Notamacropus eugenii: one gene and its partner. The protein of the gene in region 2 purifies or fractionates together with the protein of the main gene of each other region. This does not show direct contact. Links are inferred from orthologs where the notes say so. Each region holds a gene or a part of one and is shown on either strand. Other genes may lie near its edges. The genes, in order: EIF2S1 and PPP1R15A.

What was found.
Region 1: the proteins of PPP1R15A (region 2) and EIF2S1 purify together in Homo sapiens (affinity purification with western blotting; 4 studies listed by BioGRID and IntAct, with this or other methods). This does not show direct contact. The link is inferred for Notamacropus eugenii from reciprocal best matches to the Homo sapiens genes PPP1R15A and EIF2S1.

What each region holds. Positions count from the first base shown.
Region 1 is NC_092872.1:312,853,057-312,867,630, forward strand, and holds the start of EIF2S1 (eukaryotic translation initiation factor 2 subunit 1), read right to left. Parts: upstream 6,774-14,574; 5' UTR 6,579-6,773; intron 6,428-6,578; coding exon of another isoform or gene 5,766-6,427; exon of another isoform or gene 5,763-5,765; intron 1,899-5,762; 5' UTR 1,898-1,898; coding exon 1,657-1,897; intron 1-1,656. Other genes in the region: uncharacterized protein, read left to right, coding at 5,766-6,427, 7,215-7,299; ATP6V1D (V-type proton ATPase subunit D), read left to right, coding at 7,397-7,437, 13,076-13,193, 14,007-14,086. UniProt on the Homo sapiens protein: Member of the eIF2 complex that functions in the early steps of protein synthesis by forming a ternary complex with GTP and initiator tRNA. This complex binds to a 40S ribosomal subunit, followed by mRNA binding to form a 43S pre-initiation complex (43S PIC).
Region 2 is NC_092876.1:12,627,982-12,643,054, forward strand, and holds PPP1R15A (protein phosphatase 1 regulatory subunit 15A), read right to left. Parts: upstream 6,131-15,073; 5' UTR 5,962-6,130; coding exon 5,893-5,961; intron 3,401-5,892; coding exon 1,877-3,400; intron 1,341-1,876; coding exon 1,083-1,340; 3' UTR 848-1,082; downstream 1-847. Other genes in the region: PLEKHA4 (pleckstrin homology domain-containing family A member 4), read left to right, coding at 8,493-8,573, 9,233-9,337, 9,848-9,920, 9,999-10,099, 10,453-10,562, 12,320-12,532, 12,616-12,886, 13,596-13,661 and 5 more. UniProt on the Homo sapiens protein: Recruits the serine/threonine-protein phosphatase PPP1CA to prevents excessive phosphorylation of the translation initiation factor eIF-2A/EIF2S1, thereby reversing the shut-off of protein synthesis initiated by stress-inducible kinases and facilitating recovery of cells from stress.

The DNA of each region.
Region 1 (14,574 bases), on a different chromosome or scaffold from region 2:
TGTGTCTTTACAGGGCTCCAGGTTCAACCTCACTACTCCATACTTACCTGACATCTTGAACTGGAAAGCTTGATATTTTAAACAACACATTCAAAAGTGAATTCATTACCTATGTCCTCAAACCAAACATCTTTTGAATCATCCTATTTCTATCTAGAACGCCACTATCCTTCTAGTTACCCAGGTTCCCAACCATGCTGCCACTTTCTACTTCACTCTTTCCTTCCCCCACACACTAATAAGTTGCTAAATCATACTGTTTCTACTCCAATATTTCTCGTACTTGTCTCCTCCTTTCTACTCACTACATAGCACATGGGGCAACTAGGCGGTGCAGTGAATAAAGTATTGGCCCTGGAGTTAGGAAGACCTGAGTTTAAATCTGGCCTCAGACACTTACTAGTTGTTGTGACCCTGGGCAAGTCACTTCAAGCAGCTTGCCTCAGTTTCCTCATATGTAAAATGAGCTGGAGAAGGAAAGAGCAAACTACTCCAGTATTTTTGCCAAGAAAACCCAAATGGGGTCACAAAGAGTAGGACACAATTGTACAACACAAGAGTTCAGGCCCTTATCTTACCTAGACTATTGCAATAGCCACCTAATTAGTCTCCCTACTTTAAGTTTTTCTCTTTTCCAAACTATCCTCTACACTGATGCAAAAATGATTTTCCTAGAACAGTTTTCATCATGTTATTCTACTCAAAAAACTTCAGTGGTTCCTTATTACTTCTAGGATAAAGCAGCAACTCCTGTCACCTTCACAAACTGACTCTATCCTAACCTTTTGGTCTGATTACACATTATTTCCCTCCACACACACAAACCTTCTTACTGTTTCTCATACACTGGTGCTCCATCTCCATAGCGCCTGTGATGTTTGCCTTTGCACAGGCTGAACTCCTTACTTCTCTTGCGTTACTTTCTATATAAAGTCTTTCCTCACTTCTCCAGCTGCTAGTTAGTACTTTCCCCCCAAATCATTGTTTACTTATTTTGTAAATAATGACGTGTACATGCTGTATCCTCTTGCTTAGAATATGAGGTTTTCATGCTTAATGTCATTTGACTGCTTTAACATTCATCATTACCACATCTTCTAAACTACCCAACCGATATTTATCAAGTACCTACCAGCTGCAAGGCAATGGGAATACATAGGCGAAAAACCAGGATAGTGCCACGCAAGAGCTTAGGAACTATATGAAATGTATGCAGAAGTATAAAGATGGAGTGATGATGAATGCAAAGGAAAGATGCAGGTAATTTTCTTGGAAAATATGAGTATAGAGAAATCATTTTTAGTTGGCTCAATCAGGGAAGACATCATGGATTTAGTGTCAGCTATTTCTTTGTGGAAAGAAGATAGGGATGAAAATGCAGGCATGTGGGAATGATAAGGCAAGTTGTGATAGTGAATTCTATAATTCAGGCCTCCCATTCTTCAATTAAAATTGCCTTAATGTTTAGATGGAAGGGGAAGGTTATTAAAGGAGTCAAAGAAATATATCATAAAAGAGGGTTGATTAAGACACCCTAATTAAAAAAAAAAAGTATGCAACACTTTTTACCTGAAGTAGACAATTTATAAAAATATTCAAAAGCCATGATTCCCACATTCAAAACAAGAACAATTTCCCATTTCATTTTTAACTTACCTTTCTCTTTGTCCACTCTAATAACAACCACACATTCATTTCTGCCAATTCGGATGAGTTTGTTAATGGAGCGGATACGTCTTCTAGACAGCTCACTAAGAAGAATCATGCCCTCAATGTTGTTGTATTCCAATAGGCTGACATAAGCTCCCATCTCAGCAATGGAACGTACATTCACCATTACCACATCTTCCACTTCAGGAAATTTGTGCTGGTAGAATCTACAGCTTAGACCTGGCATTCTGCAATGTGAAAGAACCAAAATTAATTATCATATGGAAGCCAACATAAAGTTTCTAAGTTTAAGATGTGAAATTTCTATATCTTGCCACCAAAAAGAAAAATGTGTTTCCTCTCTTATTTCCAAATTTTAACCATTTTCTGAGTAAGCACTGTCAAGAAACAAATTTTTATTTCTAATTTTGCTAAAGATTTTTGTGGCACGTAGGTGTGTCTTTACCATTAGTTTCAAGGAGATATTGTAAAAAATAATTAGTGTCTGTAAAACATTGAGAACTAAGGATGAAAGGTACTGCTTAGTAGTAAAGTACTATAATACTCCCACTTTAAGCAATATCAAACCATGGGTAGGACAGTATTGTTATTATAAACATGCTGTAGTCTTTCAAAGCAGCAAAACCAGAACCACTCTTCCTTCAGAGCATATTATGTAATATACTTCGGAGTATATTATGTATGTATATACATATATATGCATAGATATTTAAATACATATTTTAAAAATCCAACCAAAAGACAACCCCTTCATCCCAGTCTTAATTTCTCTGAAAACAAGTGTTACTATGTATATTAAGAAGGAGGAAAAAGGGTTATGATAACATTATCATAAGCAAGGAACCAATTTCAGACACGTAGAAGGGCTATCTTAATTAAATGCCACAAAAAACAAATAAAAAAACCACATGCCACTTTTCCTTCCAACCTTTTGCCACTTGAATTTGTTCATACATCTACGTTGTGATCTTGCAGCCTCCTCTCACTTTTTTACACTCAATATCACAGATACAAGTCCCTTTCTCCAATTTTATTTTAAATACTGTCTTGCCTTCCACTTTTCTCATTACTCCTACTTAACTGTAAACACAAACCATGGTCCAAACCCCTCCCTTCCTAATATAACCAAGTTATTGTAAACATTTTTACTGAATAAGATTAATGTACTGCAGCTGCAATGTTTTCATCAGGCTTCTTCTCTAGTGAACCTGAGAGTGTATGCCTGAAGATAAGGACTAACTACTTGTTGAAGACATCTTCGTCCAGTTTGCAAGACTTGGGGCTAAAATCACGCAACCAAGTCACACATTCTATTCGGTGCAGTGAGAAGTCTCTTCCATATAATTCGCAAAATTTTCTTTGGCTGTCCTTTTATTCCTGTTTCTTGCAGCTGTTCACCCTGCCTTGCATAATGACATTTCCCTAATTCTTATGGCTTTTATTTTTCCATTCTGCTTCTTTCTCCTGAGAATTAGCATCAAGGGTTTCCAGAGTTTCCATTTTTGGATACTCTCTGGTTCTTATAGCAATACTTGTAAAACAGTAACTATCTCTGGGACTACTACTCTCCTGATAATATTTTCTATATTACTTTATTACTAACATCAATTGTAAGATGATAGACATTAGAGGAGATGCTGAAACCTTTGTACTCTCAATTCCCAATATTTCGAAGGTGATAGGGCTTCATAACCTCTTGCCTGAACAAAAGTCTCTCCCTCTCTAACCATCCTTCACATAACTGTCAAAATAACCTCCCCAATACACATGAACCATTCCACTTCCTTGCTCAAAAATTTTAAATGGATTTCAGGTTGACCGTTAAGGTCTTTCACAAATTGGCTCCACACTAATTTTCAAGCCTTATTTATTACTAATTTTCATGTTCTAGCCAAACTAGATTACAAGGTATTCCTGGTAATTAATAAGAATTCATGTAAGCCACATACACTTCCTCTTTACCTTTCTTAAAATCCTTTTCTTCCCAGCTTCAAGTGATTTCTCCCTCAAGTTTTCTTAAAAGTACTGTGTCTGGATCTTTCCTATGCTCCTATCCCCACTGTACCTTGCACACAAATTAGCTGTGTTCATGCTATATTCCCTAGAGCAGACTGGGGCATGGAAAGGTTAACTGATTTACCAAAGGTGACATAAATGTCAGAAGTAAGACTTTAATCCAGATCTTTCTGATTCCAAAGTCAGTCCTTTACCATACTGCCTATCACCTTGCATATGGTAGTAGTAGAATTTAAGTAATGGGGTGAGGATTCAAACTTAGGTTACCTTACTCTAAGTCCACTTATGGGTTTTCATTTACTACCACATGCTTCCTTCCTAAAATTAGGACTTCCTTTAAGATAGAATCGAACCAGTAACCTACAGATTCTCAATATTCTGCTTCTATAGTGCTCACTACCAAGTGAGCTACAAAAAAGAATAATAGTAGGATAAATTTCATAGCAGCTTTCTCCTGGCTAATATATCTGTTCTAGAATGTCAACAACAATCCTTAAATACAAAGGAATTTTGCTCCCTTCATAATTGTATAGTGACACAAGAAAAACACTACCAATTAATCTAATACAAAAACTGGAGACATCTCAAATAGGGAACAGCATTTTTTTTTTTACTCCACTTATCTGACTTCGACAAAAATCTGTGTTTTTACTACGAACAATTTTTCCCCCAATATCAACTCACTTTGGGAATTAATCCAGGTCTCTTTTTTTGCTGTGATTTTTCTGTCTCTTGCTGAAAGGTCTGCTCATTGATAAGGAGAAATCTATCTTCAGGTCAAACTTTTCCCATGTGTTTTCATATATTTTCAGGCCCCAAACTAGCAATATAAAAATGTACTTTAATCCTCTGAAAGTACGGACAAATGATTATTTTCCACTCTCCAATCTACTTGAAAACACCACAATCATCTCTATTTCATCACAATCCAATGAATGTGGGAACTTCCTCTACAATACAGAATGCAAGAAATCCATTACTTCAAAGTCCTAGGGAGTTCTCTGAAGCATAACAAGGCTAAGTGACTTTTGCTCAGAGGTCACAAAGGTAGTGTAGGAAAGTAAATGAACCCAAGTCTTCCTGAGTCTATGATCAGCAGTCTATCTATTTCACCACACGGCCTCTATTTATGAAATATGCTATTTTGTTACAGATAAAAGTTTGCTGCCTTACCAAATCCTACACAGATACTACTGCACATCAAACAACCTAATAAATTCTTTTGAATCAGAGAATTGTGATGCCTTGGCATTCAATGGCAGACTGGTTATTTTGGTCAATTCTGCCACTTAGTCTCGGGATCTTGGGAAAGTTGCTTAGCGAGCTTCTTTCTCTGAAAAATAGGGCTAATAATACTTTATAGGATTAGAGTATAGATCTGAAGATGATTTATAAGCTATGAGCACTATACAAGTTAACCCATCATAAAACAGATTAAGAAAAAAAAATTCCCAAATGGCTGAAATTAAGGTATTTTCATTTTTCAAATGGCAAAAAGTGATTAATGAGAAAATTCAAGGGAGAAAAAAGTTATCTTAGACATTCCTTTAAATTTAAAATGGAATTCAATCATCCATCATTTATTTAAGCTCTTATTACCTACAAAGCTTTAAAAAATGGTCTATCCCTTAGGAGTTTATGTCCTATCAGAAGTAGAAAGAACAGGAGGGGGAGGGAAAAAGGGGAAAGGAGAGAGAGAATGAGTGCCAATGTACAAAAAGTAACATGTACTATATAACTAGGGGCTAGACCTATGATTTTACTGATGTAAGGAAATCCTCTGCAACTAAGTTTTAGAGTTGCTTAGAACACCACGAGATTTTTAGTGGCTTGTTCACAGTAACAGTCAGCATGTGGCAGAGGTGAGACTTCAATTCAGGTTCCTGGGATCATGGGCCAATTTTCTATCCGCTGTGCTACTTACCCAAAATAAACTGCTAGCAATTTTCAGACAGGGGAAATAATCAATACCACATTTAAGAGGAGGACTTTCTCGGGAAAAATTTTAAGAGATCACAGAATGGAAACTGTGTGCAATTGTAAAAATGTCATTGTTGTGCTTAAAAACAAAACTGCAAATGCTACATTCTAGAATTCGAAAATCCCAGCACAGCCGACCAGATCCTCCCTCAAAGTCACTTCAGCTCCCTGAGCCAGTTTTTCATCTGACCCGGAGGTACTTCTCCGGTTTGAAACGCCTGATCCTAAAGGAAAAGAGTAACTTGTTTCTTCACCCCTCTTACTTCGAGGGTGAGCTCTATAAAACTCAAGGTGCCGTAGAATTAAACGGAGGCTCTGCAGGGGACCCCCAGACGGCTCGCTGGTTCCTTCACGCCCTTTCCAGGTGCTTTTCCACCAGCCCCTGGGTACTTTCAGACGCTGGACCGAGCAGCGCCCGGTTCTTCCAGGAGCACGGAGCCGGCGGCCTCGCTGCACGGCCCAGGGTCTGGCGTGGTCTTCAGGGCGGGCGAAGAAGGAAGGGCCCGGGAGGACTGGCGCACAAAGCCCGGAAGCCGGGCAGACCAGCAGACCCGGACGCCGGGGTCATCGTTCCGGGAGAGCCGGTAGCGTGCGGAGGGAGTGGGGGTGTCACAGAGCTCTCCAGACGCGGCGGCCACACCCCCCGCCGGGCCTTCCCCGGGAGCCCACGAGGCGAGGCGGCCGAGGCCGAGCCGTCTCCCCTCCCCTCCCTAAGCGGCCGCTTTCCACACGCCACGCCACGAGGCCAAGGCGGCTGCCGGTGCGTGGCGGGATGGGGCGGCTGCTTCCCGCGCGAGGAAGGGCCCAACGAGAGAGGATGGTAGGGGGTGGCCGGCCCGGGGCAGCCACTCGCTTGCCTTTCCTCGACCATGAGGAATGGGGGGGAGGCTTGAAAGGGAAGAAGGAGTCACCTGAAATACGCGTTTGAGGGTCCCGAACCGGGTCCCCGCGCTGCTCTCTACACTCCGGGAAATGCCCAGAACTCGGGCCGCACCAGAACCTGCTGCCGCTTCCTCTCAGCGTGTGTTGAGACCGGTCTTTCTGCGCCTGCGCGGTCACCCCTCACACTTGACGCAAGCGCCGACGTCGGCGAGGCCTGTTTTTTTCTCTATTTAACCATAGAGTATTAGTCTTCCCGGGAGGGAGGGGGCGCTAGGGAAGTGAGGGGGAGACTGCACACTTTGTCGCTTCCGCTTATTTTTCCCCGAGGATACCGCTCGGAACGGGCGTCAAAACCCGACTCCCTTTGCTGAATCAATGAACTGCTCCCAAACTCTTTCCGACAGTAAGGTGGCGCTGTGGGGAAAGTGGAAGCGGAAGCAGATGTGATGTCTTCTTCCCCCCTCCACTTCTTCACCCCTCCTTTTCACGCCGCTGGTCGTGCTTAGTGCACTCGCCGCGGGAGGAGGGGGAGAATTATAGGGGAGGGGTCGATGCAGGCGTGTAAAATTTATTTATTTTTTGGTTTCGAGGGGTGCGCGCCTTGTCACTAACATCCGGGCATTTCCTCCCTTCCCCTCATTTTCTCTCCCGCCCGCCCCCGGCAGTAGCGGACGGAACCGGAAAAGGTTTGCCCGAGGCCGCTTCCGCTTAGCCTGCGCCGAAGGTGATCAGGTGACCTTTTCCAGCTGACTGTATGAGGAGGAGGAGGTAGTGCAGGAGGCCATCGGCAGCGACCGGCGGCTTCGAAACCAGAGGTGACAGGCCCGGGGACCGAGCTGCCGCCACCATGTCTGGCAAAGACCGCATCGATATCTTCCCTTCGCGAATGTGAGTGGCCTTCGCCGGCTCTTAGTGCCCTCCTGCCCCCTCCGCATCGGTGCCGAGGTGCTTGATTTCTCAGGTTGCCCCCAGGGTCCTCCCCTTGAACCGTAGGACCCCTTTATTCCCACCCTCCGTATGCGATCCTCGGCGGGAGCGGGGCGTCCCGGCCCTGGGCCCCGAACTGCGCCTGCCCCAGGGCTGGCCTCTCGGGGTTCATTAAACCCCGCATGGTGGTAATATCTTGTGCTTGCGCTGCCCTACAAAGAGCTTAAATCACTTACACTTTCTTTTCTCTTGTCTAAGAATACGCCCAATAACTTGGCAGGGCCTCAGGGGAGCGTATTTTTTTTTCCTTTTCTGGTCCTTTTGACAGAAGGGCAAGAAAAGAAAAAAAGAAAAGCATAGAGTGGTGTAGTGGAAAGAATTCGGGATTTGGAGTAAACCACAGTTGTTCTTGTTTATGTTGTGGTCTTGGGTGGGTCACTTACCTCTCTGAGCCTCCAAGCGGTCTGCTCTGTGTGGGCCTCGCTTTAAGACTTAAGGTGACGAGCCTCTGCCGATTTTTCGGAGTACTTCCTTCATTGTGAGTTATAGGCCCTGTTAAAAACATATTTCTGGGGACTGAGGATATAAAGATAAAAATACTTCAAGGAGCTTGCATTTTGTTGTGGGAAGCTGCAGGTACACAAATAGGTATATAGGAATAAGAAGAAACTGAGATAAAGTATAAATGATTTTATGGATATAGGGAACTTTGAATGACTACGCCCCCTCAGCAATGCATAAAGGCATCTTCTGTGTCTTTACTTAGTTACAGGCATAGAGAGTTGCCTGGGATAGGTACCAGGAGGTAAAGTGACTTCCACATCGGCACAGTGTGTCAGACGGGACTTCATTTCACTCATTAACTCTTTAAGGTTTGTCTAGACACAAGGAATGGACACCTGCTGATACCCCTTTCCTACCCCCCCCCCCCCCAAAAAAGCACTGAGTAGAAATTCAGCCTCAAACACTTACTAGCTCTATGACCTTGGGGGAAGTCATTTGGTTTGCCTCAGTTTCCTTATCTGTAAAGTGGGGATGATAATATTCACTCCCTCCCAAGGTATTGTGAGGATCTAATGAGATAGTTTTGTTAAGGGTTTAGCACGGTTCCTGGCACAGAAGTAGACATTGCTTAAATGTTCATTGTTGTTACTATTATTTGAATCTAAGTCTTGATGTCTCTGAGGCTAGTTTTCTATCCAGTATGCCTAGCCTCCCCTTCTTTGTGTATAAAAAAGTAGATGTAGGCTACTTTGGGGAGAATTAGGAAAAAAACTTTTTCCTCGTGCTTGAACTAAGCTGTAAAGAAACTAGGAATTTTAAGTGTCTGAGGTAAAAAGGGAATACCTTCCAGGCTTGGTGAAATAGCCTGAACCGAGGAATGTTTTGTGTGAGGAAGTGCAGGAAGGCCAGTTTGACTGTGCCTGTCTAGAGTGCATAACCGGGAATCCGGTCTGGAAACACAGGTTGGAGTCAAGTTGTAAACGGCTTTAAATTTATATTGGGTCCTAGAGGCAATAGAGGCCTATAGGAGTTTCCTTATTCATAAAAGTACTAGCTGACTTTTGAGATCTTCCACCTCTGTTATATTGACCTATATTGCAAAGAATCCAAGCTAGAACTTGGGGCAGCTCAGCGGCCCAATAAATAGAGTACCAGGGTTGAAGTCAGGAAGACCTGAGTTCAAATTTGGACTCACTTACTAGTTGTCCCTGAGCTTTACCTTTGTTTGCCATAGCATAAAATTAGTATAACAGCAGCTACCTCAAATAGATGTTGTGGGGATCAAATGAGTTAATCATTGTAAAGCATGTAGCATGTCGCCTGACTTATAATAGTAAGCATTATGTAGTTGTTAGTTATTATCATTTATTATTACTGTTATTTTCTTGTGAGTAGCCTACTTATACCTTTCTTTCTATACTGTGGTGCGTGCTGGATTGATTTCACAGAATATTAAGACTGGAAAGGTGGAGGCCAAATAGTCAAGCTCATTTTACACATGAGGAGACTAAGAATCAGAGAGAGAGAGAACTGACTTGCTCAAGGTCACCCAAGTACAAAGTGGAATTGAGGATTCTTGATTTTGAGACCAGTGATCTTACAATACAGTTTTTGCCTACTCTTCTTGTGAATGAGATGACTTTTGACCAATACTTCCTTAAGTGCGTCCTTAAGAAGATATTAAATAGTAATTTTAGAAAGTTTCTTAAGATGCAAAAGTCAGAAAATGAAGTCCCTTCAAAGGCCAGAATAATAGCCTTGTTAAGAATGTGGGCTGTTTTCTGTTGGAGAAGAATATACTCTTGGCCACCCTTCTCAGAGAATTCTTTGTAATTACAACTACAGTGAATTATATCTGTCTTTCTTTTAGTTTCCAAACCATCTATATTTTTAACAGTTGTGACATGAAAATTGGCCTCTTCAGTTTTAGACTATGAATTGCTAGTTGTGTGAATGAGGAAATTACTGAATGATGTGTATGCATGTGGGCCTGCTGATGAGAAAAAGATTCAAATACAGGGGGTAATCTGTTGTCAGAACACATTAATTTTTCCAGGGGCTGGCAGCCGACATTTTGTCATGTAGTCAGATGTCTTTGATTCAGCTGGAAACAAAGCCATCATCGTGCAAGCTGATGACTACAGTTAAAAGTGGCAGTGCTGTGGAATTAAGAGATTTCATTTTAAAAATCTGGGCAGTTCAGAATAAAGAACTCCATGTACACATTTGTAACTCATTAGCAGAAATGGAAAGTAATGGGAAAATTGCTGGAGTTACAATCACTAGAGGTCTGGATAGAAGTCCCACCTCTTCAATTACTAACTGTAAGTGTTATGGGCAAGCTTTGTTTATCCAAACCTCAGTTTCTCCATCTGAAAAATGGGGAGTAATAACATTTGTGATGCTTTCTTCACAGATTTTTTATGAGATTGTATATATAAAACATCATAGATAGTATTAGCTATTCTTATGCGTTTCATCGTGTTGTGAAATCATGCTGCTGGTACTTTTACCCACTCTTGCCAGAAAAATAAAAACATTTAAAGTGTGCAGGATAATAATACAAGCTTATGAACATAACAGGTTGTGATCTAGAAGTTGTATTTCTTAGTTGTACTTCCAGAAAACTAATCTGTCAAAATGTTATAGTCCTGTGATACTCTTAATGTTATAGGAAATAGAATGAGTGAAATAAAGCATCTATCTATGATATTTAGAGTTAGAATGGACTTTAGGTGCACATTCCACCTCCCCATTTTATGGATAAAAATAATTATCATAACTGTTATTTATTAGTGTGAGTTATGTGTCAAGTACTGTGTTAAGTTTTTTTGTTTTTGTTTTTTTTTACAAATATTGTCACATTTGATCTTTACGGCAATGCTGGGAGGTCAGTACTATTATTATCCCCTTGAGGGGTTAAGTTATTTTCCTAAGATTACACACACTGCCTTTTATTGGTAGAGTCTAGATTTGAACCCAGAAACTCTCTATTCCAAATCCTGTGCTCTTTTCAGTATAATGGCCTAACCTGTATGCTCCAGTTAAGAAGGAATTCAGTTCAAAGTAAGGTCCTTTACTTAGAGGCAGGCTGAATTTGAAGAAAAATAGTAAAAAACTTAGAAAGTTTCTTGAATGTTTTTTAGGCTTTGGGCAAATTAGCTTTGGCTTTTAAGAAGCTCTAATAGAAGTTTATTTTGAGCAGCCTGAACTCCTCTTGATAATTGATAAAAGCAGTGCCTTAACCATTAGGAATTCAGTTTGCAAGAACACATTCTCTGTTTTGTACTTTTAAAATGCTGACTAGAGAAATTACTAGAGTTTATTGGAAAGCAAAAGAGTTTTCTTGTGCTAAGTATCTCACTTTCATCTCTTTCTGTCAATATTTGGTGCCCATCAAGTTACATCTAAAAAGAATACCCTCCACCTCCTACATCCATTACCTCATGATTCCCCTGCAGTCTGACTTTTGTCTCTCTTGTTGTGCTGAAAACTATACCTTTTCTCTGTCCCTGCCTTATGTAACATCTGATAAAAATAATTTCTCCTTGAAACTCTTGTTTATCTTGGTTAATAGACTCCAATAAACTACTTTAGAATTTGGTGAAAAAATAATTTTGCTAGATTGATCTGTGTTAAAACATGACTCTCAACAGTGACTGTAAGGCTACATTGTGGTTTCTATCAGAAGGTGAAATCATGTTTGAAATAGTTTTGACTCTGAATGTAAACAGGGTGGTTTGTGAATTTGTACACACTCAGATGGTTAAATCCTGCTCAGGCAAGAAACTGAACCAGTCCTGTTTGGCAGGACCTAATTCTGATCTAGTTCATGATCTAGTTCATTCATGGAGTTGGAAATTATGTCTAATTCTTTTAAAAGACAGAAATTTAAAAAAAAACTTAAATTATTCTCTTTATAGTGTAAAGAGATGGTGCCTCTCACCTCTAATTTATGAAGTTCAAATTCTCATATTTACTCAAGAACTTAGCCTCTGGCATTTTTCTTTTAGTGTCATTGATTATACCAGTCGCTGTTACCATTAAAGCTAATGATGATTCCAATGGTATTTCTGTTTGTATTTTTTTTTTTTTGAAAACCAGTAGAAGAAGAAAAAACATATATTTTGGATTCAGCATTTATGTCACATGCAACAGCTTAGGATCATTGATTTACAGCTAGACTGGACCTTAGAGGTCATCTAATCCAAGTCCAACTCTCCCTTACTTTATAAATGAGGTCATCTTGTGCAGCCCCCTAACTTTACAGATGAGGAGACTGAGACCCGGAGAAGGGAAGTGACTTGGCCAAGGTCATACAGGTATACCTTCTCTCATGAAACAATTTGAGTCCTTAGGTTTGATTAGATTGATTACTAATCTTGTATGTCATTGACCTTAATGATAAAACTTACTTTAAATGATAGCAAAGTTGGAATAATCATTTTTATTATTTTCTTTTAAACTAATACTTTGTTCTGAAGAAGAGAATGGGAAGGAAAATGTCATGTAATCTTAACTTCTTATTTAGGCAACTCCACATTTACTGTACATCTGTTAGCTTTTATAATAATAATAGCTCACATTTCTTTAGAACCTTAAAATTAAACATATTATATAATGTTTGGTATTCAGGGTCTTAAGTGAAGATCTCCAAGCACTCTGTGATCTGATTTTAAAAAATATATCTTTAGGCAATTGAAAATTTCGCACAGAAAACATAATTTATTGTACAAGTCACATCATTTAGACTAAGCTGGCTTTAAAAAACATTTACATTCCATTACAACTAGGCAGAACTAATTGCAGGTGCAAAAGGAGTATTTTCAGTTCTAATTTAGTTCTTTCTCCATTATAACTATGGCATGTTTACAGGCTGCATAGAAATATGGACCTATAGAGTTAGAAAAATCAATTAAACTTTCACATACAAGTGGTGAATAGTCTGCGTGGCAATCTTATTTAGATACTGTGGCATCAAAGTGGGGTAGAGTGTAATTTTGCTAATTTGTTTGGGAAATGTTTGTGCTTGATCTTGTTATCTTAGATGATATTAAGAATTTTGTATGACTATAATTATTTCTATTGAATTTAGGGCACAGACCATCATGAAGGCTCGATTAAAAGGTGCACAGACAGGCCGAAACCTCCTAAAGAAAAAATCTGATGCCTTGACTCTTCGTTTTCGGCAGATCTTAAAGAAGATCATTGAGGCAAGTATAGGTTTTACTCTTGATCAGAAGTTTGTTTTCACGAGAGTATGAAAATTCAGTATGATTGATTATGTTCTAAATTATTGTTAGTCTTGTTATTGTTTCCTGACTTAAATATCTCACTTTTCATTAGAAAGAGAAAGAGTAGAGGGAAAGAAAACAAAAGGTCAGTTTTGCTTACTAGTGATTGGAAAATGGTTTGAGAAAAAGGTATATTGACACATCAAATTTCTTATCCTTGTATGTACTACATTAATGTAGTTAAATTTGAAGGTTGGTGGTTCATAAAATTCATGCTTCTACCTTGTCTCAGTAAAGCACTGGGGACTGTGGATATGGAATTTAGTATACACTATCAAATATAATTTCTGTCAATTGACTTGGCTTAATCGTTTTGTTTTTAACATGGAGGACCTTAATAGGAAATGACCATGATGTAAAAATACAGCAATAAAACAATTTTTTAAAATTTCATTTTTCTCTGACATCTCTGGTGGTGTAAACCAAACATCTGACGCTAAAATGTGAATAAATCTTTTGGCCCTGATGTTATTACATTGATAACACAGAATTCATGGCATTATAGAGCACCAAGCTGGTAGCATGGCGCAGTGTGGAAAAACCAACGTGATCAGATTTCCGACTCTGTCGCTATGATTACTACCATTGTAGTAACTGAACAGATGACCAGCTCCTGGCCTTTGTCTGGACTAAGTGACCCCTAGGGTCTCTTTCCACTCTGACCTTATTAAAGAGTAAGTCTTGCCTATAAGCAACTTAGTTTTGTCCATTTTTGATTTGTATTCTTGACAGACCAAAATGCTGATGGGTGAAGTGATGCGAGAAGCTGCTTTCTCACTTGCGGAAGCCAAATTCACAGCTGGTGACTTCAGGTGAGACAATCTACAGAGGACTTTAGATAAAAAGTTGTATGTGGCTTTCTAGAGCCTTTGGAGTAAACATGGATTTTGTGAATAGACTGGTCTGTCCAGAGACTTCCATTTGTATCCTGATTCTGCTTTGAATTGACTGGGTGACAAGTTACATGTCTTATGTTTTCTAGACCTGTTTTCTCGTCTAGGGGATTTGGCCTAAAAAATGACTACATTTCTCTTAGTATTAACATGTGTCATGCTGAATACTAGACTCCATAATTTTGCAACTCTGAATACTTCTGACAGGAAAGCTACTCAGGACTGACCTTTAGGACAGATGGTATCTTGAGAATGAGTGAATAAGTGTTGAATAGAGGCATAGAATGGTAAAGGGATGGGGGGGGGGGGGGGGGCGCTTTGAAGGAACTGGAGAACTGTTATTTTATAAATACAATAATTTATATGTTTCATAAGTGGATTTGGGAATCCCACAGAGTCCTGTTGTC
Region 2 (15,073 bases):
CCCAAACCCATTGTTTTCTTGGCTCTGTCACGGTCTTGGGGTCATTGTGTCTTCAGCTGTGAGCACTACATTAATAAACTGCAGTACCCTAAAACAGGCCATCAGAAGGGGGAAGGGTCTTGAGATCGATCAGTTCGTGAGGATTAGCTGATGGAAATAGAAACAGTTGGCCAGGAGAAAGGAAGCTCAGGGACCATATACTGGAGGTTCCTGTGGAAGAGATTAGGTATTTTTGTGTGCTCCAAAGGCTTGGAGGGGCTGCAGAAGGGAAGGGAGCCAGAGGGATTTGCAGAGACCATACATACAAGCTGGGTGTTTGGGGGGAGTTCCTAGTGAGTACAAGATACTGTTGGAGGAGTCAGCTGGGGTCCAGCAGGTATTGTGGAGAGGGGATCCTGGTTCTACTAAAAGTGTTTAGTGGAGGACCTAAAGAACCTCTGTCTGGGGTCTCTTTCAAGTGTGTGCTCCTATGAGGCCAGCCCTCTCCCCTCCCCAGCCCCCAATGACCAATTCAGAGTTCCAATTTTAAGTGGGCCATTTATCATGGACATATGGTCACAAATCTCTTCTCCAAAACCTAGGGGATAAAGCAAATGAAGGACCATCAGAGGATGTGTCCTGGGACCCAGCTCCAGGCACCAAACTAGAAAGCTGAGGAGATCCAATCTCTAGGGAACCCCCAAGTCCTCACCCAACCCTGGCCCCAAAGCCAACCTGCCTGTGGCCCAGTTCTTCATTTCCACCAGCTGGACTCCCTTGGAGGTTTGAGTTTTGGGGAAAAGTGATCAGAGATGGAGACCCCAGAGATTGGTGAAATTTTTAATAAAAGAAATAAAGAAAATTCAAGTATGTTCAACAAATCTTTATTAAAAGTATACTATGTGAGGCATCAGGGATAAAACAAGGGTAACCAATTAGCCCTGACTTCCTGGAATTAACTCATAACCCATAAGTCCTCAAGAAGGCTCTGCACACATATACCACCCGCCTACTGACAGGCAGGGAAGGGGGAGAGAAGGCTGAGCAAGGCCTGGATCCGGGCTTCTTTCTAGGGTTCTAAGCCTAGGCTGATTTAGAATGAGTTATGGGCTGGGGTAGGGGCCCTCCCCACCCTGGGAAGAAGACTGAGGGGAAATGGTCAATGCTTGGAGACGCATCCAAGCTCGGGCCCGCGCAGCAGGGCACAGGCAAGGGCCCAGGTGGGCTTCGGCCTGGGTGATACGACGAGCGAAGCGGCTCCGATCACGTGCCAGCTGCTCCCATGGACCCCGGCGGGCAGCACGGGCGGGCCCAGCCCATACCGCCAGGAGATGAAGGCCCACGGTGCTGGAGAATCGGACCTGGAAGGAGGCAGCCAGAGGATGGCGTGAGTGAGGCAGATACAGTGGGCTCCAGACAGCCCTTCATGCCCCCTCCCCACCCACCCCCTCCTCTGCTTAACTAGTTTTGCAAGGTACTAGTCCTCAGGTCTCTTTCGCATGGTTTTGGGGGAATGACAAAAGTAAAGGGGGAGGGGAAAGGAACCGTGTTTATTAGGCACCTACTATGTACCAAGCATTGGTCTAAGCCCCTTTACAAATTTTTAGTAAATAAAGCAGCCTCAGCACCTGCATCTGAATTTCACTTGCATCCACCTTCTGCTAAACTCATATGACATAGAGAGCCTGAATGGCCAAGGGACCCATCACTGGCCCCAGAATCACAAGGACCTGGTTTCAAATCCCATTAAGTTGTGTGGCCCAGGGCAAGTCCTTAACCTCCCTGGGCCTCCATGTCTCCCTTGAGCTGGACTGAAACAAATCTGTGATGCTGTAGCTAGCTCTGACCTGCCTGGCTACCATCTACCCAGCCTCCCCTGTGAAGGGTGGGTCCTCACCTTCCTGCCTGGAGGGGACTCTGGCTCTGGCTCCACAGGGGTCCGTCGGGGCCTCAGGCGCTTCTTCAGTCTCTGGGGTAGCTGGGGTGAGGGCCAGGGGGATGGCTGCTCAGCCCCAGGCACAAAGATGGAAACACGGAAGACCTGCAGCCCTGGGCCTGCCCTGCACACAGCTCCTTCAGCATCTTCTTGGTCATCATTCTCCTCTCCAGGTCTGCAGGCCCAGGCCCTGAGCAGGGGGCTGGTGAGCACAGGAGGAGGGGGCTGGTTGGCTGCTCCCCCCTCCCCATCAGATACATCATCCTCATCCTCATCCTCATCATCACCTTCATCCTCTCCAGGTCTATAGGCCCAGGCCCTGAGCAGGGGGCTGGTGAGCACAGGAGGAGGGGGCTGGTTGGCTGCTCCCTCCTCCCCATCAGATACATCTTCCTCATCCTCATCACCTTCATCCTCTCCAGGTCTGTAGGCCCAGGCCCTGAGGAGGGGGCTGGTGAGCACAGGAGGAGGGGGCTGGTTGGCTGCTCCCCCCTCCCCATCAGATACATCATCCTCATCATCATCATCACTTTCATCCTCTCCAGGTCTGTAGGCCCAGGCCCTGAGCAGGGGGCTGGTGAGCATAGGAGGAGGGGGCTGGTTGGCTGCTCCCTCCTCCCCATCAGATACATCTTCCTCATCCTCATCACCTTCATCCTCTCCAGGTCTGTAGGCCCAGGCCCTGAGCAGGGGGCTGGTGAGCATAGGAGAAGGGGGCTGGTTGGCTGCTCCCTCCTCCCCATCAGATACATCTTCCTCATCCTCATCACCTTCATCCTCTCCAGGTCTGTAGGCCCAGGCCCTGAGCAGGGGGCTGGTGAGCACAGGATGAGGCTGGCTGCTGGATCCTCCTTTGCCATCACCTTCTTCAGCTCCCCCAATTCCCCTCTCCTCTGCCTCTTCTCTGAGCTGCCAGGCCAAAGGCCAGAGCCCCTGAGGGCAGCTGTCCACAAGGGAAGGGAGGCTTTGCTCAGCCTCAGGCATTATCTCATCTCCCACCCCTTCTCCTTCTTCATTCTCATTCCCCTTGTTCTCTCCAGGCATGAGGATGCCTCTCGCTGCTTGCTCCCTGTCTTGCCCATCATCTCGTTGGACCAGACCTGTGGGCCTATTTCCAGGCTCTTCTCTCCTGGATGCTCCATCATGGACCTTCTGTTCTCCAGACTCAAGGTCTGCTGGGCCTTCAGCCACTCCTTGGTCACCCTCTTTCCTCACTTGTCCAACCCAGTTCTGGAGGCTAGAGCTGGCCTGAGCTCTTCTGACTTCAGGCCAAGGTCCTGGGGCCTGATTGAAGGGGCCCTCTTCTTCCTCAGTTCTAGCTTCAGGGTTCACATCCTTTGCTTCTCCTCTAGGCTTGGGCTGGAGTCCCACATTCCATAGTTGGGACCAGGTCCAGGCCAAAAGTAACTGAATGTCAGAAAAAAGGCTGCCCCTGAAGGAAGCTCCCAGGGAGATGCCAGTACTATGTCCCAGGTCAGAGTTGGGCTGCAAAAGAAGGCACCAAACAGGCTAAATTAGACTTCCCTTGGCATGAGTCACAGGACAGAAACAGAAAGCCAAGCATTTGGCCAACCCAGACTTCCAATCCTGACTATTCTCCTTAAGGTCCCATTCCTTGTGGCCCTAAGCACTTTTAACCAGTTACCCTTCACCTACCCTAGAGTTTTGGATTTTTTTTTAAAGGCTAGTCTTAACCCCAAATCACTCTGGCTCTCCTATCTTTGTAAGATATCTTGGGGTATACAGGCTACATTTCTTTCTTCAGGACCATGCCTTTAACCCAAATCATTCTGGCTTTTCACCGATTGGCCAACAGTAGGTTCCAAGCCAAACCCCACTTAGTCATTGTTTGAACTCTGATTGACTCAGAGTGAATGTAAAAATAGGAATTGTTTCTATTTTGGCCAGAAACTCTGAGGGTCTTCTCCTTCTACTTCGATTTTTTTCTTTTTGGCCTAGGTTCTTTGTCTCATTTTTGTTTACCTAGCCCTCATCACTAGATGGATGTTGCCTCAGTCAAACTGAGACTTGCAAAAGACCAAGGTTTCCTACCACATCCTGGGCCATCTCCGTCACCCTAATGACTTAAATCAGTTCACTTGCATGTCATGGCATCACCTCCCTGATGTCATGGTCCTCTTCAAGAACGAGGAACAAGCACCAACTACCTCACCTAGACCTGTGTGCTTTACCCGGGCGTTTCTAGCCTCTGAGAGCCTCAAGCACCACTTACAAGGCAGTGGAGGCTCAGCGGCTGCAGTCAGGAAGACCCAGGTTTAAATCCAGCCTCCAGCAGCCTACTGGCTGTGAGACTTTGGACAAGTCACATAACCTCTGTTTGCTGTAAAATGAGAATAAGAGCACTTCTCAGAATTGTGACCGTACCTATAGAGCACTTAGGACAGTACCTGGCATCCAGCACACATTAATAATATTTAACCTTTTCCTTCCTGCCTGCCCTCCCTGCTGGGAGTTCTCCTTGCTCACCTTGAGGATCCAAGGGCCCCCTGGACCCTTCTGGTCCTCATCTTCTCAGAGAGCCCCCCGTTCCCTCTCCGTTCTGAAGTTCCCAGCTCCCTATCCCCTAATGCCCCTGCCCCCGTCCAGTCCTGTCCCCTCAGAGGTCCCAAACCCCTTTCCTGCACTATACCGTCCCCTGAGGAGTCTTGTCCCTCCCCTCGGGGTCCAGGCGCCCCCTCCCGTCCCTCCCCTCGGGGTCCAGGCGCCCCCTCCCGTCCCGCCCCTCGGGGCCCCGGCTCCCTTTCCGGTCCGTCCCGCCCCCTCGGGGTCCAGGCGCCCCCTCCCGTCCCTCCCCTCGGGGTCCAGGCGCCCCCTCCCGTCCCGCCCCTCGGGGCCCCGGCTCCCTTTCCGGTCCGTCCCGCCCCCTCGGGGTCCAGGCGCCCCCTCCCGTCCCTCCCCTCGGGGTCCAGGCGCCCCCTCCCGTCCCGCCCCTCGGGGCCCCGGCTCCCTTTCCGGTCCGTCCCGTCCCCTCGGGGCCCCGGCTCCCTTTCCGGTCCGTCCCGCCCCCTCGGGGTCCAGGCGCCCCCTCCCGTCCCTCCCCTCAGGGTCCAGGCGCCCCCTCCCGTCCCGCCCCCTCGGGGTCCAGGCGCCCCCTCCCGTCCCTCCCCTCGGGGTCCAGGCGCCCCCTCCCGTCCCGCCCCCTCGGGGTCCAGGCGCCCCCTCCCGTCCCGCCCCTCGGGGCCCCGGCTCCCTTTCCGGTCCGTCCCGCCCCCTCGGGGTCCAGGCGCCCCCTCCCGTCCCGCCCCCTCGGGGTCCAGGCGCCCCCTCCCGTCCCGCCCCTCGGGGCCCCGGCTCCCTTTCCGGTCCGTCCCGCCCCCTCGGGGTCCAGGCGCCCCCTCCCGTCCCGCCCCCTCGGGGTCCAGGCGCCCCCTCCCGTCCCGCCCCTCGGGGCCCCGGCTCCCTTTCCGGTCCGTCCCGCCCCCTCGGGGTCCAGGCGCCCCCTCCCGTCCCGCCCCCTCGGGGTCCAGGCGCCCCCTCCCGTCCCGCCCCCTCGGGGTCCAGGCGCCCCCTCCCGTCCCGCCCCCTCGGGGTCCAGGCGCCCCCTCCCGTCCCGCCCCTCGGGGCCCCGGCTCCCTTTCCGGTCCGTCCCGCCCCCTCGGGGTCCAGGCGCCCCCTCCCGTCCCGCCCCCTCGGGGTCCAGGCGCCCCCTCCCGTCCCGCCCCCTCGGGGTCCAGGCGCCCCCTCCCGTCCCCGCCCCTCGGGGCCCCGGCTCCCTTTCCGGTCCGTCCCGCCCCCTCGGGGTCCAGGCGCCCCCTCCCGTCCCGCCCCCTCGGGGTCCAGGCGCCCCCTCCCGTCCCGCCCCCTCGGGGTCCAGGCGCCCCCTCCCGTCCCGCCCCTCGGGGCCCCGGCTCCCTTTCCGGTCCGTTCCGCCCCCTCGGGGTCCAGGCGCCCCCTCCCGTCCCGCCCCTCGGGGCCCCGGCTCCCTTTCCGGTCCGTCCCGTCCCCACGGGACTCACAGGGTCCGGGCTGCGCGTCATCCTGGGGGCAGCGAGGGCGTGCACGGGCATGGCGGTGTCCACAGGCATGGTGGTGTCCACGGGCACGGCGGAGGAGTCCACGGGCACGGCGGTGTCCACGGCGGGCTGGGGCTAGGGCTCATGTTGTCGGGGACCCCAAAGGCTCGGCGTCTGCGCTCGATGTCCGGCCAGAGCTCCGCGGTCTCTCTGTGTACTCCTGCTTCTCCGGTCAGGTTGGCTCTGAAATAAACACGGCTCCTCGGGTCCTTATATACGACGCGCTGACGTCACGGAGCGGAGTTTACCAACGTCAGGCAAGGGGGGGCGCGGGGGAAAACGAAGAACGCAAGGCTGCCACTCCCTCCCGAGCGGAGTTTCCTTAAGTGGAATCGCTCGGATCCCCTAGGGCTGACGTCATAGGAGGGGCGGGGCGATCAGGGAGCTCGATGACGTCATGGTCCCGTGCTCCGGGGATCCCGCGCCCAGGAGGTGATTCAGGGCTCTGGAACCTCCGAGAGCAGTCCGGAGCAGCCCCGCCCCGCCCGGCCATCCTCTGGATCGCGGCTCGGTCGCCTAGCCCCTTGTCACCCTCGTAGGGGATGAGCCTGCCGTCCCTGCCGCACCTGGGGCGGGGGGGCCTGAGCAGGCGGGTTCCCCTCCTAATCCCTCGGATCCCATTAATGTCACAGCACAGCGCCCAGCCTTCTGGCTGAACCTGTATAACCTCCTCCCCGAGTCGGTCAGTCAGTCAGTCAACAATCCTGGAGGACAGCCTGTCCAGGGCAACCTTCTGGTCAAGCCTTCTCCTGCACCCCGCCCCCAGCCCCCCTGCCCGTGCCAGCCGGGCTGCATGCTTCCTTTCAGCCAGCCTGGGGTCTGACTCCCCAGTCCTTTTACTCTCGGGGACCCAGGAGACTTGTGCGGAGCCCCTTGAGTCCCACCCAGACAGCTGTGGGGGCCGAGGAGCCTCGGGGTCAAGGGAGGGGAGGGGCCGGCCAGAGGGAGGGAAGAGCGTGGGTGGAGGAGTTGAGGAACAAGGGAGAGACACGGACCTACTGTAGAGAAAGGGAGAGGTCCAGAGAGCGGAGAGAGACCGAGGGAGACAGGAAGGTATGGGCAGGCTGATCCCGAAATCCAGAGTTAGAGAGAGAGAGAGAGACTGAACCCGGGACTGAGAGAGAGGGAGGCATAGAAAGACAGAGGAGGAATAGTAGGGGAAGGGGGGGGAGAGAAAGAGAGAGAGAGAGAGGGAGAGAGAGACAGACAGACAGAGAGAGAGAGAGACAGACAGACAAAGAAAGAGAGACAGAAACAGAGAGAAACAGACAGACAAAGAGAGAGAGAGAGAAACAGAGAGACAGGGAGAGAGAGACAGACAAAGAGAGAGACAGACAGACAGACAAAGAAAGAGAGACAGAAACAGAGAGAAACAGACAGACAAAGAGAGAGAGACAGAAACAGAGAGAGACAGAGAGACAGGGAGAGAGAGACAGACAGACAAAGAGAGAGAGAGAGACAGAAACAGAGAGAAACAGACAGACAAAGAGAGAGAGAGAGAAACAGAGGGACAGGGAGAGAGAGACAGACAGACAAAGAGAGAGACAGACAGACAAAGAAAGAGAGACAGAAACAGAGAGAGACAGAGAGAAACAGACAGACAAAGAGAGAGAGACAGAAACAGAGAGAGACAGAGAGACAGGGAGAGAGAGACAGACAGACAAAGAGAGAGAGAGACAGAAACAGAGAGAGACAGACAGGGAGAGAGAGACAGAGAAAGAGAGGGAGACAGAGAGAGACAGAGAGAGAGAGAGAGAGAGGAGGAGATAAGTGGATGGAGAATAGAGAAACAAGGAGAAGAAAAGCCAGCAAGTGACAGAGAAAGAAAAACAGGAAGAGACAGAGAGAGAAGAGACAGATGCACAGAGAGGCACACAGGGAGTGACAGAAACAGAGAGAGCGAAAGAAATTCAGAGAGACAGTGAGAGACAAATAAAAGGAAAGAGACAGGAGGCAGAGAGAGGCTGAGGAAGGGTGAGCCACTTGGGAGTGAGAGCACTTGGGAACTGAAGAAGGAACACCCAGCTGTGCTCTTGGATCTGTGCTGATCCCACTTCCTTCATCTGGAGGGCCTGGTAGGTTTCTAGACCTGGGGGAGGGGGGACACAGGTATGCTTGGGTTCCTTCCTACAATTGGGGAGGGGGGGGGTTGGTATGTTTGATCAGGACTGGGGGTTGAAGAAGGATGGAGTTACAAGGGCAGCCAGACTAAGGGGTGGGAAGGCGATGTGGATCTCTAAGCATGAAGGGAGGGGCAGATTCTTGGCCTGAAGGGGGGGTGGTCTGGACATAAAGAGGCCTCTTTTCTCTGGCTTCCCCCCTAGCAGCTGCTGTAGCCGCCCACCCCCTGGCACTGCCTCTTGGTATGTGGCAGGGGGCCAAGGCCTCCCCCAGCCCCCAACTCTCCCCCTACTCTGTATATCTCACACAAGGAGGCTTTTCTCCTTATCCTCCCCACTGCTGGGGTCACTGACCCTGCCTGGGCTCCTCCTCCTCCTGAACCTCTCTCAATCTTCTTCTTCTTCTTCAAGTGGCTCCCCAACATGGAGGAAAGCAGGCCCCGGAGCAGCCTCAGCATGGCCAGCAGTGTCTCCACTGTCTCCTCCATCAGCCTCAGCACCAAGGTGATGCAGGTGGCTGAGGTGGGGTGGGGAGAAGGTGGGCTGGTGGACCTCCCTCTCCCTGTGTCAAGGTTTGGGCTCCCAAGGTCTGGAGAGGGACCAGCAGCTGGGCCATGAAAACACCCAATACCTCAGAGTGTGAGACTGTCCCCTGGCCCAATTCCTTCCCAAGCCAGGTGCTGGGGGTGCCCAGCTCTTGAAAAGAGCCCCCAATTCCTCCTTTTCATATTCTTTCCTTACTCTTTGAGTCGCTCTGCCCGTGCTTCCTCTGAAATCCTAATAGTTTAGGGCATCTGCTCCTGGGGAGCAGGACTAAAAGAGGAGGTGAGCTTCCTGAGGACAAGTACTACCTTAGGCCTGTCTCTATTCCCAGTACGGTGCCTGCCACTTTTAATAAAGCCTCCTTGAATTGGACTGAATGAATGGAATGAGATCTGGGGTTTCTGCCCACCTACAACTCCTCTTGGCCAGGACCCTAAGCCTGCCCTGCCAGTAGAGCAGTCACTCGGTCCTGGACCACGCCCCCCCCCCCCCTCCCGCCGCCGCAATGAGGGGAAGGGAAGAGAATGAGAAGTGCCTCCCTCCCCTACAGTGGAGCCCTTCCAGGTCTGAGGTTTCCCTGTGCCCCCAGGCAGTCCCTTTCCTGCCTCTCTCTCCTCTAGCCCCCTCGGGCAGTCAGCCGGATCCATGCCTTTGGGAAAAGGGGAAGCTCCCTCCGCAGAGACCCCAACCTGCCTGTGGACATTCGAGGCTGGCTGCATAAGCAGGTACTGTGGGGCTAGGGCCCCTGCCTGTCCCTCGTCTGTCACCTCCCTAGGCTCTGCACTGTGTTGCATGCCCTGTTACTGGCTGCAGAGGGACCCCAGCTTTCACTTGCTCCGTGACTGTCACTCTTTGCTGCCGAGGTTGCCCCCAATCTTTGCTGTCTTGCTGGCTCTGTCTCTGTGACCCTCCACGACTCTATTTCCCTTCACCTCATCTCCATTTCCTGGTACATGCTCAGGTCTTGCCAATATTTGTCAAAACAGCTCTGGTCTCAGGTTCTAAAAATATGACTGTTCGCCCTGGTCCTCCGTCCCTGTCTCTGTGTCTCTGTGTCTTCTTGTCTCACTGTCTCTCATCTCCGTCCCCTCCATGTCTTTCTGTCTCCCCATCCCCCTGTCCCTCTGTCTCCCTATCCCCAGGTTCCTCTCTGCCTGTCTCACTGTACTCCCACCTCATCCTCCTGAGGTTTCACCTGTCTCAGGGCACTCAGGTGTCTCTGGTCTCTCTCCCAGGACAGCTCTGGCCTCCGGCTCTGGAAGCGGCGCTGGTTTGTCCTGTCTGGCCACTGCCTCTTCTATTACAAGGGTCAGTGTCCAAAGGATGGGTTGGAATGGGGATAGAGAAACCTTCCCCAGTGACCGCTGATCCTTGACTCCCTTGCAGACAGCCGGGAGGAGAGTGTCCTGGGCAGTGTCCCTCTCCCCAGCTACAGTGTCCGTCCAGATGGCCCTGGGGCCCCCCGGGGGCGCCGCTACACTTTCACTGTGAGTTAGAGATGATCCTGGTGTCCTCTCCCCCCTAGAACCCCTCGGGGACCCTGGTATCCACTGCTCCAGCTGCTAGTGCCTCCCTGCCCCTCCCCCTTACCTTCTATTCTCTGTAATCTGCTGGCTCTGTGCATGTCTCCCCCCTACACACACATAAGCTGCTTAAGAGCAGGGACTGTCAGCACACAGCCCCAGGACCCAGTACATCGGTCTGGCAAAGAGAACCAGATCAATGCTTATTTACTGACCCCCCCCCCCCCCTCAAGAACTGGCAGCCAGCCCTTCTCCTTCAGGCCCAAAAATTCCTTCCCTGAGCTTTATGTCCCCCTCCTTCTCACCTCCCTTCCCAGGCTGAGCACCCTGGGATGAGAACGTACGTATTGGCCGCTGATACGGTGGAGGACCTTCGCGGGTGGCTGCGGGCTCTGGGTCGTGCCACCCGAGCTGAAGGGGATGACTAGTAAGTGTGGGCAGGATTATCGCCACTTGAATCCCAGCCCCTCTATGGCTGTCCCTGACTGCACCCCAGCTTCCTCATCTGGAAAATGGGGAGCAGTCTAAGGCTGGTTGTTGCTGTTGAGCCCTGTCTGACTCTTCCTGACCCCATCTGGGGTTTTCTTGCCATTTCCTTCTCCAGCTCATTTTACAGTTGAAGAAACTGAGGCAAACTGGGTGAAGTGACTTGCCCAGGGTCACACAGCTACTGTATGTAAGTGTATGAAGTCGCATTTGAGCTCAGGGCTTCCTGATCCCATGCCCAGTGCTCTGTGCACTATGGCACAATCTAGCTGCCCCCTGCCCAAGAATCCAAGAATCAGAGATGTAGAGCTAAAACCACCTCAGCGGCCATCTCCTCCAGCCCGAGGAAGTTAATGGAAGAATCTGCCTAAGGTCACACAGGTAGTAAGCATGTGAACCCAGGACCTCAGACACTAGACCCTGTCTTCTTACCACTGCCCCAGGCTCTCTCAGAGAAGCTGCTGCTTATAGTGGTAACTACTCTGGTCTTGGAGTCACCAGAGACCTGAGTTCAAATCTCACATCTGAGACTTAATAGACTTAATATGATCCTGGACAGGTCACTTAGCCACCTGAGTCTCAGTCTGAATGAACAAATGGAGAAACCTGCCTGACAATGTGCCAGGTGTCCTACTAAGGGCTGGTGATATAAACATAAGAAAGCAAGCTAGTCACTGCCCTGGAGGAGAAGAACACGTAGAGCTACAGGTGGAAAAGAGGGAAGAATACGTGTGCATTCATGTATGTGTGCATGTGTGGGAACAGGTGTATGAGGGTGTCCATGTGATGGCATGTATGTGTGCAGGTATGAGTGGGTGTATGAGTGTGATTGTGAGCATGTGTGTCCATGCATTGTGCATACATGTATGCGTATGTGTGTGAATTGTGCGTGTGTGCATGTATTTTTGGCAGTGTATGTGAGTGTGTGCACATGAGTGCATATGAGCATCAACTGTGTACATGTGTGTATGAGTGTATTTGTGTATATGTGTATGTGCACACATGTACAAGCATGTGCGCATGTTTGTGGACATGTGTGTGCACACTGTCCCTCTCGCCAGCCTCTGTCCTCTGCCACTGGAAGGCTCTCTCTCCTCTCCTGAATGGAACCCCCGACTTCCTCCAAGGCTCTGCTCCAGCCCTGTCTCCTCCTTCAGACTGCCAGTCCTGGCTGTTGCCCCTCCCCCAGCAGAATGTCACCAAAGCACCTGCCTGGCAGTCAGCACTTGAAGGAATCACTTCCCGCTTCTGTCCAAGGCAGAACTCAGACAAGAACAGTAATGATGATAGCGAGCCAGCATTTGTAGAGAGAGCACTTTGAGGTTTTCAAAGCAGCCCCTCAAAACACAGGTGCCATTAACAGATGAGGAAACTGAGGCAGGCAGGGTCAGAGGCAGGTTGAGATCGGGTCCTCCAGACTCATGCCCAGTGCCCTATCCGCTGCGCCGCCTAGTGGTCAGTTCAACCGAAACGCAGAGGAGCTAAGCCTGGAAGGATCCTCTTGTCCTCTGGTGTCCAGGGCCAGGCTGAGGAGCAATGGAAAGCCACTGAGGATTCTTGAACATAGGGATGGGGGGCTGAGGGGGCGAGTACCTAACCAGATGACTGCAGCAGGTGCTGAGAAGCCCTGGATTCCTGGGAATGCTCTTGAGTGAGCCCTAGCCCAGTCCTCTCTGTCTGCCTTTTCTCTCCCTGCAGCGGCCCTCAGACCCCACCTGCCAGACCCTCAGTTGGAGAAGGCCCTGGGGGTCCTGGGGGACCACCTGAAGTAGGAAGCAGTGAAGAGGGTCGCAGTGCCGAATCCCTGGAGGTGGCCAGGATCTCTGGGAGACACAGGGAACTCACTCCTAGCCCTCCACCTGGGCTTATGGAGCCACCCCAGAGGAGCAGACAAAGGGCAAGGAGTCCAGAGTGAGTGTGTATCTGTATGGGGGTGGGATGTTTGGAGAGGAAGGGGCCCAATCTCAGGAAACCTCCTTCCTCTTCTCCCTTAGGCTGTTTTCTCCCCTCTCCAGGCCCCCATCACCCCTGGGCCTTCCCCGGCCACGCTCAGCCCCTGCCCACCGTCCCTCTGCTCTGGTTGGGGGAGATACCCGGCCCCATACCCCACTGAGTCGGATCGATGTCCGACCCTTATCTGAGTGGGCCCCAGCCTCAAGAACCCTGTCCAGGCCCTCCACTCCCCGACGGGCACCACCATCAGAGACAGGGGCACCGAGACCTCCCAGGAGCCCCCACCACTGGGCCACTGAACTCAGGGCCAAGGTGAGTGACCCTAGCAGACAGGAGAACTACATCATTCATGAGGCTTCAGGCCTACCTAGGTTACCCTACTAACAACCTGTGTAGTCCATGGTCAGACCTGTGTAGTCACATGTGGAAGGGGAAAGTCTGCCAGTCAGTCCAGTTGGCTGGCTGATGACCATTCTTATTAAGACATTATGGAGATTTTAGGCCATTGTGAGCCTCCAGCTGAGGAAGGCCATAGATGCTTATGGTGTTCTCTTACCACCCATGGCTTTCAGAAGTTCTAGGGCATTGTAGCTAGTTTGCCTCAGTGGGAGTGAGGGCTGTTGTAGGGCCTTCTGGAGAGAAGAAAGAGCCCTTCCCTTGATGTGGAGTCAGGAAATCCTGAGGCTCTCTCAACTTGTGAAGCTGGCCCAGACATTCCCCCTACATCCTCCACCCCCAAGGTTCTCTCACAGTTACAGTGACCGTGGCCATCTCCCTGAATCTCAGTTTTCTTACCTTTGAAAGGAGGAAGATACCTGGGGACCACCCTGTCTTCCCTTACTCCCCAAATTGTGACTAGAAAAGTGCTTAGTAAGCCTGCCTGCCCTGTAGAAACCAATAACTGGAGGATGCCCCTTTCTTTGGACTAGGCACTGTGTCTCCTGGGGACTTTGCCTTCAAAATCTCAGTGCTGAACGGTACTCTGAACACCACCCCCCATACTTTCCTAATGTCTCCGCAGGCAGGGCCTGGATATCTGCAGTTGGCCCCCAGACCCCCAGGGAGTCGGGGCTCCTCAGCCTCTCTGGTAGGTGTCTCCCCTCCCGCTCCCCCCTGAAGAGGCTGGCCGGTGGAGTCCCAAAGGCAGGAACTTATATGGTTCCCTTTGCAGCAACCCCCTCTCCCGCAGCCGTTGGGCCCAGCGCTGGATTCCCCACTGCACCGAAGCGAGGATACCGACGTGAGTCCCGGGGGCCTTGAGCAGCGGAGGTGGCCAAGGTGCGGGTGGGACAGAGCCCTGCACCTCCTCGGGCGGGTTCTGAGAAGAGAGAGCCACTTCTGACCTAGGCCTGGCCCCTTTTGGCCCGCAGGCGCTCCTCACTAAGCTTTGCGGGCAGGACCGGCTCTGGAGGAGGCTGATGGAGGAGACAGCCAAGAACCAGGAGGAGAAGGTGGGGGGGGGGGGGGCGGGCACTGGGAGAGCTGAGGGCTGGGCAGGGGCAGCAAGGTGCAAGGGGGGCACTGAGGAGCATGAGGGTGCATGGTGAGGGGCACAGTGAGAGCTAGGGTCCAGGAGGGCATCCAATGTAGCCAAGGAGAGGTGAAGTCTAAGGGGCAGGGGATGTGAAATCTAAGGGGAAGGGGGCACAAAGGCACTAGGAGGTTGGCTTCCTGTATCCCCTCTAACCATCCTCCCTTCCTCCACCACAGGAACGGCTGGAAGCAGCCCTGGAGCTGACTCGCCGGGCTGTGGGGGAGCCTGGGCCAGGGACCAGAGCCTGGTCTCGCCTACGGCTGCTGCAGGACCGCCTGGTGGGCGTCAGAGCTGCGCTGTGCCACCTGGCCCAGGTAGGGGGCCCAACTGAACTCTACAAAGACCATCCTACTTTGAGGCTACTAACCACTCATGGGAAATGTAGTCCTTTCTGACCCTGGCCAGCTCTGCCTTCTTAGGGGTTTCTGGCATTCCTAGCCTTCAGCATCCTGGGTGAGGGTCCCAGGAGCCAAATCAGAGAAATAGGTGGGGGGAGGGGAGTTTACCAGAGCTCATCTCCCTTTTTTCCTGTCCTTGGAGGAAAGGGAGAGGGTTTGGAAGACCTACAGCAGCCTGGAGCAAGAGCTGGGAACTCTACGGGAGACCCTAGAGGATCTGCTGCACCTTGGGCCTCCTCAGGTACTGCCAAATGCCAAGCCTCCGCCGACTCCCTCTCCCTCAGCAGCTCCAAGCCCCTTCCCAAAATCTATTCAAGCCCCACCCCTCCTGCCAGAGCTTCTCTTCTCCGCTGCCCACCTCCCAACGCTTAACTCTTGCAGGCCAGGGTCTCTGCCCAGCAGCAGCTATGGATGGTAGAGGACACACTGGCTGGACTCGGGGATCGGAGTTGGGGTCATCCCCATGGGGATGGAGATGAAGATGGGCCTGGTGCCCCACCAGGTGAGATACGCCCTTTAGAGTCCCCCAGCCTTCCTCATGTCCAGTACAACCTTCTTCTGTACTCC